Linked DNA regions of Callithrix jacchus. The protein of the gene in region 2 interacts with the protein of the main gene of each other region in a biochemical or structural test. Links are inferred from orthologs where the notes say so. Each region holds a gene or a part of one and is shown on either strand. Other genes may lie near its edges. The genes, in order: HIP1R, CLTB and HIP1.

Region 1 (4,374 bases), on a different chromosome or scaffold from region 2:
CAGATGTGCTAGACCCAATGGGGCTGCTGCCTGATTGAAAAGGGACCCTGTGTATGCGTGAAGGGTCACATGAGAACCACTTTTGTTCCATGTGGAAATAGGAGTGTGATAAATAGCTGGAGTACAGCAAAGAAGCCCCTTGACTGTGGTCTTTATTTCACCACAGCTATTGACCAAGTTGCAGAGGATTAAAAACCCTTTACATATAAAGGGTTGAGCCCAGGGCCTGTCAAATAATAAGCATTCAATACATATTAGCTATTGTGATTTTATTGTTGTTCTGGTAAAGAAGCTTTTTAGTGGTTGGAATTAGAGAAAACAGGATTAATATTTCCTTTTGGTGGAGTGAGACAGCCTTGGCAATTGTACATTTTGGCGTCAGCTCTAGCTCTTGGGCTGGAGAGTGAGGAATCAGGTTAAAGAAAAGGGTCCCTGATCTCAGACAGGTTACGTCTCACCAGGGAGACAAGGGTCAAGCTTCTGTGGGCATCATTTTCCTTCTTACAGGTAGGTAGGTGATCCGTCCCCCTTCAAAAGCAAGGGATCTTTATGCACGAGTCCACATCTGCATTCTGATAGGAAAGGGAAACAGCAGAAACAAAATACTCATCTGAGAGCTACGCTTAGGAAGGACTCTGGGCTTCTATTTTTTTACTTCTTGTGACCAGTAATTTTAAGGGGAAGCCAATAATAATAATAATGTTTTTTAAAAAACCTCATGCCACCCCCGGCGGCAACTCCTTGGTGTGTACTTTGTCGTTCAGATCCGCTCGCCTTCTGTCCCAGCCTAATTCCGCCTGGCCTCAGCCCCCATTGTCCTTGGAGCTGGCGAGGTGTCCGGTTGCGGAGCCGGCCGCGTCTCTGGAAATGCATCCTGCATCCCTGCGTGGATAACAGCTGCAGCTGTGTCGGAGATGCACAAAGAGGGGAGAATGTCATTGTGTGTCTTTTGACACATACATTAAGACCAAAAAGGAAAAAAAAGTCTATCTGTGCTGCTACCGACCAGAATCATGGAGGCCAGATTTTCTCCAATTAACCAGATCTTGCCCTGGTGTAGACAAGACTTAGTGAGTTCGGGGAAGAGAGGGGAGGGAATTGGCCGGGATCCCTACCGGAGGGAGGGATTCCGCTTCCCCCTGCCCTTCTCTCCGGGTTTAGGGAGGCGATTAGAGGTGGGGAGGGGCTGGGGGCGTTTGGCCTGTGCCCCAATCTGGTGAGTGGTGTGGGGTTGGAGGTGTGCGGGGGGCGGAGCGTGTGCCGGGGTCGCCGCGGGTCGGGGGGTGGGGGCGTGCGGGGGGGAGGGGTGTGTCCCAGGTCGCGGGGGGTGGGGTTGGAGGTGTGCGGGGGAGGGGCGCGCTCTGGAGTTGGGGGCGGGCACGGCGTTTGCGGGCGCATGGGCGGGGCGCGCGGCGGGCGGGGAGAGGCGGGCTCCTCCCCGGCGGGCGGGCCCTGGTGCGGCGCGGCGGCCTCGAGGTGCCTAGGCAGGGGCTGCCGGGCAGTGAGGCGCGGAGTCGCGCGGACGGAGCCAAGCGGGAGCGGTCGGTGGCAGCAGGATGAACAGCATCAAGAACGTGCCGGCGCGGGTGCTGAGCCGCAGGCCGGGTCACAGCCTGGAGGCCGAGCGCGAGCAGTTCGACAAGACCCAGGCGAGCGGGCGGCGGGCGGCGGGCGGCGTCCCTGTTCACTCACGCGCGAACCGCCGGGGCCCGGGAGGCGCCCCGCAGGGGCTGGGGACCGCGCGGGAGCGGGGCCTGGGTCCGCCTGGGCGCTCCGAGAGCTCCGCGGCCGCCCCCCTCCGGCCTCCGCGGCCCGAGCCGCCCGGAGCGCAGGTGAACCGGAAGCCGCGCTCCCCGCTCCCGCCGGGCGCTCGGGCCCAGAGGCGCCGGGGCTGAGGTGGCCGGAGACGGAGATGGGGCCGGGGACGGAGATGGGGCCGGGGACGGGGGTGGGGCCGGGGACCGAGATGGGGCCGGGGACGGGAGTGGGGCCGGGGACCGAGATGGGGCCGGGGACGGAGGTGGGGCCGGGGACGGGAGTGGGACCGGGGTTAGGTGTGTGCGGGCCCAGCGCGCAGGGGGCCGAGGGGACCCGGGGTCCAGGTGCTCCCGGGGCCGGCGCGTTCCGACTGTGGGTCTCCGCCCTTCGGTACGGCTTATTGCCGGCTCCTGCCGCGGTCTCCCACCCCCTGAAACTGATGCCCCCACGGGCAGTTTCCTTAAAGGAAATTCCTTAAACACCCAGCTTCCGTCTCTCGTGAGTGGTTTCCCAGGGCTGCACAGTCTCCTATTATTTGCTGGGTGAAGCTTCTCGTATGTCGCCAGACTTGTTTGCCGGAGCGCTGCCCACGTATAAATAGGTGCACACCCCCTCATTAAACACCGGCGCCCGACAGACAGAAACTTCCTGGGGCTCCCTTCCTGCCCCTCCCACGCCTGCGTCTCTTCCAGATGATGCCTATCCTGGGAAGATTTTAGACATTAAATGAGGGCGCGGGTTTGCCTTTTGTACTTGTGTTTGTGCCGGGGACCCGCGATGGAGACGTTGCTGCGTTTCTGGTTTCCTGTTGCTTTGTATTTGACAAACTCTTGAAATATTCTCAGGCTTGGGGGATGGGCGGTGGAGGGGGGGCATACTTGTTTATTTGCCAAAATAAGTCAACCAAGACTGAAATGGCTGAAAAATTTTACTCCAGAGATAAAGGAAGCCAGAGGACCCCTCCCACCCCTATCTAAAGCAGGTTGGTGACATTTGCATTTGTGGCTATTTGCAAGTTCCGGCCCACTTGTCCTTGCGGAGAGCCCTGACTCCTGTGGTTGCCTTCACATCTAATTAGCAAATGCACTTTACTACAGCTTTCGTTTTGAAATGAGAGAGAACGCAGGAAGACCGTATAGCCTTTGTGCTTGGGATTGACCCTGAAAGCGATAAGTCCTGAGGATATCAAGGCTTTAGAAATGCCAAGTGCTGGAACCCACCTGGCGGCAAATTATCAGTTTATTCTTGTGATCATCATCACCACCATCATCTGGTTCAGCCCCGATAGCCCTTCATTTTAAAGTATGGCATTTAATTTAGAGTCACCAATACATAATTAATTGTGCCAGGAACTTGTAGATCATAGAGAGAAAACTTTAGTTGGCAGACAGATCTGGATGTTCTAAGAAACTGTTTATTGGTCTAAGGCCATATCACCCGGAACGCGCCGAATCTCGTCTGATCTCGGAAGCTAAGCAGGGTCGGGCCTGGTTAGTACTTGGATGGGAGAAACTGTTTATTGACTGAGTTTTAGATTTTTCTCCTGCTCTTGAGGTATAAAGAGGTCTGATTGCTACATGGAGGAGATGGAATGTGAAGGACCAAGTTCATTGATCTTACGCTTAAATAAGAAGCCAAGGGCAACCTCTTGAATGTCAAAGAGAGAATCTGATACAGGACCACACATTTTGGTGGTTTGTTTGGTACACAGAAAGGTGGATTTTTTTTTTTTTTTTTTTAAAGACAGAGTCTTACTCTGTTGCCCAGGCTAGAGTGCAGTGTTATGATCTCGGCTCACTGCAACCTCTGCCTCCTGGGTTCAAGTAATTCTCCTGCCTCAGCCACCTGAATGGCTGGAACTACAAAGCGTGTGCCACCACACCTGGCTAATTTTTGTGTGTAGTTTTTTGATTTTTGGAGATGGAGTCTCGCTCTGTTACCAGGCTGGAGGGCAGTGGCGTGATCTTGGTTCACTGAAACTTCTGCCTCCTGGATTCAATCGATTCTCCTGCCTCAGTCTCCCAAGCAGCTGGGACTACAGGCACACGCCACCACGGCCAGCTAATTTTTGTATTTTTAGTAGAGATGTTATTTCACCATGGTGGCCAGGCTGGTCTTGAACTCCTGACCTCAGGCGATCCACCTGCCTCACCTCTGCCAGAGTGTTGGGATTACAGGCATGAGCCACGGTGCCTGGCCAAAGGTGGATTGTTTTATTTTATTTTGCTCTGGGTTTTTCTCAAAGGCTTAGAGGGTCATATACAATGAATAACTTTGTAATGAGTGAATCTCACGGGACTCACCTATTCCAGGTCCCTTTTCTGGAAAGATGGCGTTTGTGTTCATTGTCTGGGTTTGCTCATCTTCACAGTGACTTACTGAGGAATATAAGAATGAGGTTTTGTACGTGGTTAATATTTAATTAGATCATTCCCAGAAATAATCGAGTGAGCCAGCAGCCAGGCCCCTGGTGGAAAAGGACCTGGAGAGCTGAGGTTGCTACTTCCGTGTCTCCTTCGGGACAGAAAATAGCACATCCAGTCCAGGGACCTGGCTTCCTTTGTAATACGCTGCCTGTCTTGCATTGACCACAGCACTTTGTGCTGAGCAGGAGCA
Region 2 (3,645 bases):
TAAAGTCAGGTCCTCTTAGGCCGGGTGCAGTGGCTCAGGCCTGTAATCCCAGCACTTGCGGGGGGTGGGGGCAGGCAGATCACCTTCGGTCAGGAGTTTGAGACCAGCCTGGCCAACATGGTGAAACCCCATCTCTACTAAAAATACAAAAAATGAGCTGGGTGTCGTGATGGTCCCCTGTAATCCCAGCTACTTGGGAGGCTGAGGCAGGAGAATCACTTGAACCTGGGAGGTGGAGGTTGCAGTGAGCCGAGATTGCGCCATTGCACTCCAGACTGGGCAACAGAGTGAGACTCCATCTCTTTCTTTTTTTTTTCTCTCTTTTTAGTTTTTTTTTTTTTTTAAAGACGGGGTTTCACCATTTTGGTTAGGCTGGTCTTGAACTCCCGACCTCAGGTGATCCGCCCCCCCTTGGCCTCCAAAGTGCTTGGATTACAGGTGTGAGCTACTACGCCCAGCCTAGACTCCGTCTCAAAAAAAAGAAAAAAAAAAGAAAGGACCTAGAAATAGAAATTGTATTTGACCCAGCAATCCCATTACTGGGTATATATCCAAAGGATTATAAATCGTTCTACTATAAGGACACATGCACACGAATGTTCATTGCAGCACTGTTTACATGGCAAAGACCTGGAACCAACCCAAATGCCCATCGATGATAGATTGGATAGGGAAAATGTGGCACATATACACCATGGAATATTATGCAGCCATCAAAAACGATGAGTTCGTGTCCTTTGTAGGGACATGGATGAACCTGGAAACCATCATTCTCAGCAAACTGACACAAGAATAGAAAATCAAACACCACATGTTCTCACTCATGGGTGGGTGTTGAACAATGAGAACACAATGGACACAGGGAGGGGAGCATCATACACTGGGGTCTGTTGGGGGGAATAGGGGAGGGACAACACAGGGTGGAGAGTTGGGGAGAGATAGCATGGGGAGAAATGTCAGATATAGGTGAAGGGGAGGAAGGCAGCAAATCACACTGCCATGTGTGTACCTATGCAACAGTCTTGCATGTTCTTCACATGTACCCCAAAACCTAAAATGCAATTTAAAAAAAAAGAAAAAGAAAAAAATAAAAAAAAAACAAATAAATAATTTAAAAAAAAAAGAAAAGATAAAGTGAGGACTAAGTGTTAGGAGTTAACAGAACCACAATAGAGAGTGATTTTAATGACCGTAGAACAAGGGACTCACTATGCCAAGCAGGGTTCTAAGCTTTTTATAATTTTAACTCCTTTCATCCTTATGTCCTCCCTTTGGGGTGCATACTGTTATTTAGCCCATTTTATGACAAAGAAAGTGGCTAGCACACGGTTTCTTGAGTCTCCTGCTTGGAGGGTATCAAAACCTATGACTGGGCTGAGGGCAATGATCAGGCACAGAGAGGGTGAGTAACTTGCCCGCAGTCACACAGGTGGAGGAGTGTTGCTGGCAGAGGGAACAGCAAAGGCAAAGGGAGGCATAGTCACCGGAGACAGTGGGTATGAGGTTGTTTGAAGCTGAGTTACCCAGACGTGAGCAGGGCCCCAGTAGGGGCAGCAGAGACAGCGGGGTGGGTGTGCCAACTGGGCAGACTGCTGCGTATTTGTGTTCTAGGAGGCCAATGGTCCTGCTGACGGCTACGCAGCCATTGCTCAGGCTGACAGGCTGACCCAGGAGCCTGAGAGCATCCGAAAGTGGCGAGAAGAGCAGAGGAAACGGCTGCAAGAGCTGGGTGAGGGCAGGCCTGAGGTGGGGGTGGGCTGTGTGTGGGGAGGCCTGGGAGTGCATGGAACCCTGCATGCCTTAATGTGGGACTGGGCCTGGGCGACCCTGAGGTGCCTGGCAGGGGCCAGGGGAGGAGCAGCCAGGGTGGCCAGGCCTGTGCATCCCAGCTGGAAAGCAGCCGCTCATTCTCCTGTGGGGTCCCAGATGCTGCATCTAAGGTGACAGAACAGGAGTGGCGGGAGAAGGCCAAGAAGGACCTGGAGGAGTGGAACCAGCGCCAGAGTGAACAAGTAGAGAAGAACAAGATCAACAACCGGTGAGAGGGCTGTGGGGACATGAGGGGGCCAGAGGGACATGAGGGGGCCAGAGGGACATGAGGGGGCTGTGGGGACATGAGGGGGCCATGGGGACTTGAGGGGGTCTTGAGGACATGAGGGAGCCAGCTGTGGGGATGTGAGGGGGCCGTGGGGACATAAGGAGGCTGTGGAGTTGTGAGGGGGCTGTGGGGACATGGGGGGGCAGCTGATGGGATATGAGGGGGCTGTGGGGACATGGGAGGCTGTGGAGATGTGAGGGGGCTGTGGGGAGGTGAGGGGGCAGAGGGGATGTAAGGGTGCCATGGGGACGTGAGGGGGCCGTGGGGACATAGGGGGGCAGCTGATGGGACATGAGAGGGCTGTGGGGACATGGGGGGGCTGTGGAGATGTGAGGGGTCGTGTGGAAGTGAGGGGGAAGAGGGTATGTAAGGGTGCTGTGGGGATATGGGGGGCAGCTGATGGGACGTGAGGGGACTGTGGTATGGGGGACGGTCTGGAGGGGCTGGTTTGGTGATGGGAGCAGGGAAGAAGGGAAACCCCAGGGCTGCTTCCTCATTTGCTCGTGGAGTTCAGGGCCCCCTGGAGCTGCTCCACCATGGAGGCCTCACCTGTTTTCAAGAGGAAGCTGAGTCTGCGAGGCAGCTAAAGGGGCCCAGGGCCCTGGAATGCCAGCAAGTCTGTCCAGGCCTCAGCAGCCAACAGTGAGGTGTGGCCCTCTGTGGCCAGAGTTAGGATCAGAGACAGCACAAGCTGCACTGAGGGTGAAGAAGAGACTTGTGAATGGGATTTTACTGCTGGAGAAATGCCACCCTGAGTGGCTAAAGGATTAAAAAAAAATCACAGGCTGTATAACTACAAAGGCCAGGGGTAGGATGGTGGGCACTGGGGCGCGAGGGGCTCCAGTGAAGTCCATCCACCCTCACTCACTGCGCCCGCTGTCCTTTCCTCCAGCTGCGCTTCACTGTCGGGCCTGCACCCTGGTGTGGAGGGAAAGATGGCCAGCAGCAACTCCAGGCTTCTGCCCTATTCTCTTGGCAGCCCTAGTGAAAATAGCATCTTGTGCCCTAGAGCTCCAGCTCAAGTCCTCGGCCCGACCCTCACTGGCTTGGACCATGCCAGGCCCAGTGACTAGCCAGGGGGCCCTAGTCTGGGTGATAGTCCCATTCCTTGGGTTGTGCATAGGGATCAGTCCCACTCAAACCACAGGGACCGAAGCTGGGGCAACCTGTTCCAGCAGAGGACAGTCAGGGTGCCCTTCCTGGAAGAAGAGGCATGAATGCTGGGCAGGTGAAGACAGCAGATGCCCAGCAGAGAACACCTTTGTGGAAATGGTCTCAGATTGAATACTGCCCAGTGCTCCCTGCCTTTTAGGCTACCCTCTTCAGGGTCCAAGATCTTCCAGGAAGGGAAAGGCCTGCTCTAGGAGACAGCTACCCTTCTGTCCAGAAAACTGCTGCATGCCAGGCTCTGGGGTAGGCATTAAGGAGATGGAGATAAGGAAGACCCAGTCTTATGTCCTCAAAGGGCGCAGAGAGAAAAACACACATGTTCAACTGAGTTCAAATACAGTAGGGCCCTCTGCACGAAGGCCATAGAAGCAAGGAAA
Region 3 (3,645 bases), about 60 Mb from region 2:
ATAGCGATGGGATCTTGCTATGTTGCCCAGGCTGGTCTTGAACTCCTGGCCTCAAGCAATCCTCCTGCCTCATCCTCCCAAAATGTTGAGATTATAGGCATGAGCCACAGCACCCGACCCTTCAAGATGTTCTTTGTCTAAGTAGCCCCTCCTCTTTGGTTACTGTTTTGAGGCAGACCATGGCTGAACTTAGCTCCTATACCATCTGCTTGAAGCCAGCTTGGACTCACTTCTCGTCCTTGTTCACGCCGTTTTGACTGTTGAAATTGAAGGGGTCGCTGCTGAATGAGCTGCCAAAGATGTCATCAAACTTGTTGTCAAATAAATTCTGTGGTTGACCAAAACGGAGCGAGAGTAAGTCAGAGAGCCGGAGAACTGTGTGTGGGTCAGCTGAGCGACATGGGAGGATGGCCCTGTTCTGTTTGGTTCAGACCGATTTGTTTGTTTGTTTGTTTGTTTTTTGAGACGGAGTTTTGCTCTTGTTACCCAGGCTGGAGTGCAATGGCTCATTCTCAGCTCACCGCAACCTCTGCCTCCTGGGTTCAAACGATTCTCCTGTCTCAGCCTCCCAAATAGCTGGGATTACAGGCATGCGCCACCATGCCCAGCTAATTTTTTTTGTATTTAGTAGAGACGGGGTTTCACCATGTTGGCCAGGATGGTCTTGATCTCTTGACCTCATGATCCACCCGCCTCGGCCCCCCAAAGTGCTGGGATTACAGGCATGCACCACCACGCCTGGCTAATTTTGTATTTTTAGTAGAGACGGGGTTTCACCATGTTGGCCAGGATGGTCTCGATCTCTTGACCTCGTGATCTACCCGCCTCGGCCTCCCAAAGTGCTGGGATTACAGGCATGCACCACCACGCCTGGCTAATTTTGTATTTTTAGTAGAGACAGGGTTTCTCCATGTTGGTCAGGCTGGTCTTGAACTCCCAACCTCAGGTGATCCACCTGCCTCAGCCTCCCAAAGTGCTGAGAATTACAGGAGTGAGCCACTGCATCTGGCCTATTTTTTTTTTTTTTTTGACAGGTTCTCACTCTACTGCCCAGGCTGGGGTTCAGTGGTACAATCATAGCTCACTGCAGCCTCAAACTCCTGGCTCAGCTTCCTGAGTAGCTGGAAGTAGAGGTATAGACCACCATGCCTGTCTAATTTTGTTATTTTGGGTTTTATTTATTTATTTATTTATTTAGGTCCTGGCTCTTGTCCTCTTGCCTAGGCTGGAGTGCAGTGGCATAATAGCTCACTGCATAGCTGGGGCCACAGGTATGTGCCACCACGTCTGGCTAATTTATTTTTGTAAAGATGGGGTCTTCCTATGTTGCCCAGGCTGGTCTTGAACTGGCCTCAGGCAATCTTCCCACCTTGGCCTAGCAAAGTGCTGGGATTATAGCTGTGAGCCGCTGCACCCATCCAGACCCGTTTATGATCCTTCTGGGAGTCACAGGGCAGGATGCTCAGCCAAGGTTGCTACTAGGTGAAGAGAAGGCTGAACCTGGTTAGCGTCAATGGGCTTTGGCCAGGGTCTCCCCCAGCCTCTCCCCTGTACCTGGAGGCAAGAGGAAAGGCCAAGTTCCTCTTCCAATTGGTCCTCACCTGCTGAGAGGCGTCCATGTCCATGAGGTCATCCTTCTCGAGCACTGGCTCGCTGTCGGGGGACGAGGCCTCCGCCGGGATCACCACCACAGGGCTGATGTGCTCTGACAGGGCTGAGGCTCGCAGGAAGTTGGGTGGGTTCTGAAGACGGAGACACATCCTCAAACAGTGCTCACTTGCCAGGCCCTGACAGCCTCTAAGAGGGTACTTGGGGCCTCTGCAGTGCCCAGGGTAGGTAGACAGGCACGCTTACCTCAGGCAGCTGGGGGATCTGAATCAGCCGCTTGAAGTACTGCAGGTTACTGGAGCGGTAGAAGAGATCTTTCAACCTAGGGGTGGAGAAGGGCCTGAGGGCTGCTGGGTGCCTTAAGGGACAGAGCAGCCACCTGGCCTTCCCAAAGGCCCAGGCTGTCAAGGAGATGAACTCCATGGCACTGGGATTCAATTATGATGCTACAGAGAAGGATTAGTTAAAGCTGGTCCTCAGGGACCTGGTGGTAAGGAAAGAGTAGCTCGTGCTACAAATCCTGGAAGTGGAGGTAATCCGAAAGCCGGTTTCTTCATTGCTGTAGATAAATGCTGTTGTTTTGCAGACTTAACTTCCTAGGAGTGCTTGGTTTAGAGTAACATTAATAGAAATTGACTTTCTCTGAGGATAAACCAAGTAACCATAGGAGAAGGGAAGGGAATTTAATCACAGAGGTAGCTCTTCTTTAATTACTTCTCCTTGTTTCTGGACTATTTGTTCTCTCCACAATTACACTGTAAGTTCCCGGGAAGTAGGGACCGAGCTCTGCTGAGCTGTTTGCCCTAGTGCCAGGAACAGGGGAGCCATTCAGTAAACACTTGGAGTGTTTCAGTTGCTTGGTAGTGTGTCCTAACCGTGGGTGGACACGCACATGAAGAAACCAGCATTTTCTCATAGCCCATGCAGCCTCAAATTCCGGGGCTCAAGCGGTCTTCCTGCCTCAGTCTCCCGAGTTGCTAGAACTACAGGGATTCACCACCATGCCTGGCTGGTTTTTAATTTTTTGGTACAAACAGGGCCTTGCTGTGTTGACCAGGCTGGTCTCAAAACTCCTGGCTTCAAGCAACCCTACTGCCTTGGCCTCCCAAAGTGCTGGGATTACAGGCGTGAGCCCCCACACCTGGCAAATCTTTTTCTCATTCTCAAATATCTATTTTGAATCTAAACACTGAAGACCAAGAAAGCTGAGAGTATCCAGATGTATATATTCTTTATCTTTATTACTTTTAAGTATTTTTTGATAGGGTCCTACTCTGTCACCCAGGCTCGAGTATAGTGGCATGATCATGGCTCACTGCCGCCTTGACCTCCTGGGCTCAAGCGATCCTCCCACCTCAGCCTCCCAAGTAGTTGGAACCATCATGCCCAGCTCAGACTTATCTATTCTCAGATAAAAGGGGAACATGGGCCTTAACTCCTTCGGCCTGCAACACAGAATTTTCTCCAGCTTAGCCCAATAAATGAACCCCCCGGGGTCTCCTTGCAGCCTGTCAGATACCAAGACGTAGGCCGGTCTCTGTGACATCACTGCCACTTCCCCTGAATTCAAGGACAGTGAGGTCTCAGACAGATGGCTGTGGCTGTGCGAAACAGCAAGGCTGCTCCCATTTACTCAGGGGAGATGTTTTCATAAGCGAGAAGAAAATGAAAGGAAATGAAATCACCTGACCACACGTCCCCATCTTGCTGGGTTGGAGCCAACAGTAACAGGCTGAGCGCTTTCGCAAGCTACCGGAATTTCACATTCCAGGAAATCAGCCCCAGGGCCTGTCTCCTGGGACTAAAGAAGCCATTTATCTTGGAATGTGTACTCGGCTTCTCAAATGGAACAGAGGCACCAGGAGGTGGGAACCACCACACACTCGTCCTTTGCTCGCTCCCGGGGAAGCGGCCAGAGAAGCTGGAACTTGGCATTTGGGAGCTATGGCCAAGGGTGAGGAAATCAACAGGAAAAACAAGAGGACGCACATATACAGAAGCCAGGAGGCCCTTTCTGCTCCCTCCGTCCTCCCAGCT

What was found.
Region 1: the proteins of CLTB (region 2) and HIP1R form a complex in vitro, tested with the Homo sapiens proteins (2 studies listed by BioGRID). The link is inferred for Callithrix jacchus from reciprocal best matches to the Homo sapiens genes CLTB and HIP1R.
Region 3: the proteins of CLTB (region 2) and HIP1 form a complex in vitro, tested with the Homo sapiens proteins (2 studies listed by BioGRID, with this or other methods). The link is inferred for Callithrix jacchus from reciprocal best matches to the Homo sapiens genes CLTB and HIP1.

Annotation. Positions count from the first base shown.
Region 1 is NC_133510.1:126,013,617-126,017,990, forward strand, and holds the start of HIP1R (huntingtin-interacting protein 1-related protein), read left to right. Parts: upstream 1-1,447; 5' UTR 1,448-1,556; coding exon 1,557-1,649; intron 1,650-4,374. UniProt on the Homo sapiens protein: Component of clathrin-coated pits and vesicles, that may link the endocytic machinery to the actin cytoskeleton. Binds 3-phosphoinositides (via ENTH domain).
Region 2 is NC_133503.1:70,816,453-70,820,097, forward strand, and holds part of CLTB (clathrin light chain B), read left to right. Parts: intron 1-1,611; coding exon 1,612-1,729; intron 1,730-1,926; coding exon 1,927-2,038; intron 2,039-3,645. UniProt on the Homo sapiens protein: Clathrin is the major protein of the polyhedral coat of coated pits and vesicles.
Region 3 is NC_133503.1:10,475,867-10,479,511, forward strand, and holds part of HIP1 (huntingtin-interacting protein 1), read right to left. Parts: intron 1,931-3,645; coding exon 1,855-1,930; intron 1,743-1,854; coding exon 1,602-1,742; intron 329-1,601; coding exon 231-328; intron 1-230. UniProt on the Homo sapiens protein: Plays a role in clathrin-mediated endocytosis and trafficking. Involved in regulating AMPA receptor trafficking in the central nervous system in an NMDA-dependent manner. Regulates presynaptic nerve terminal activity.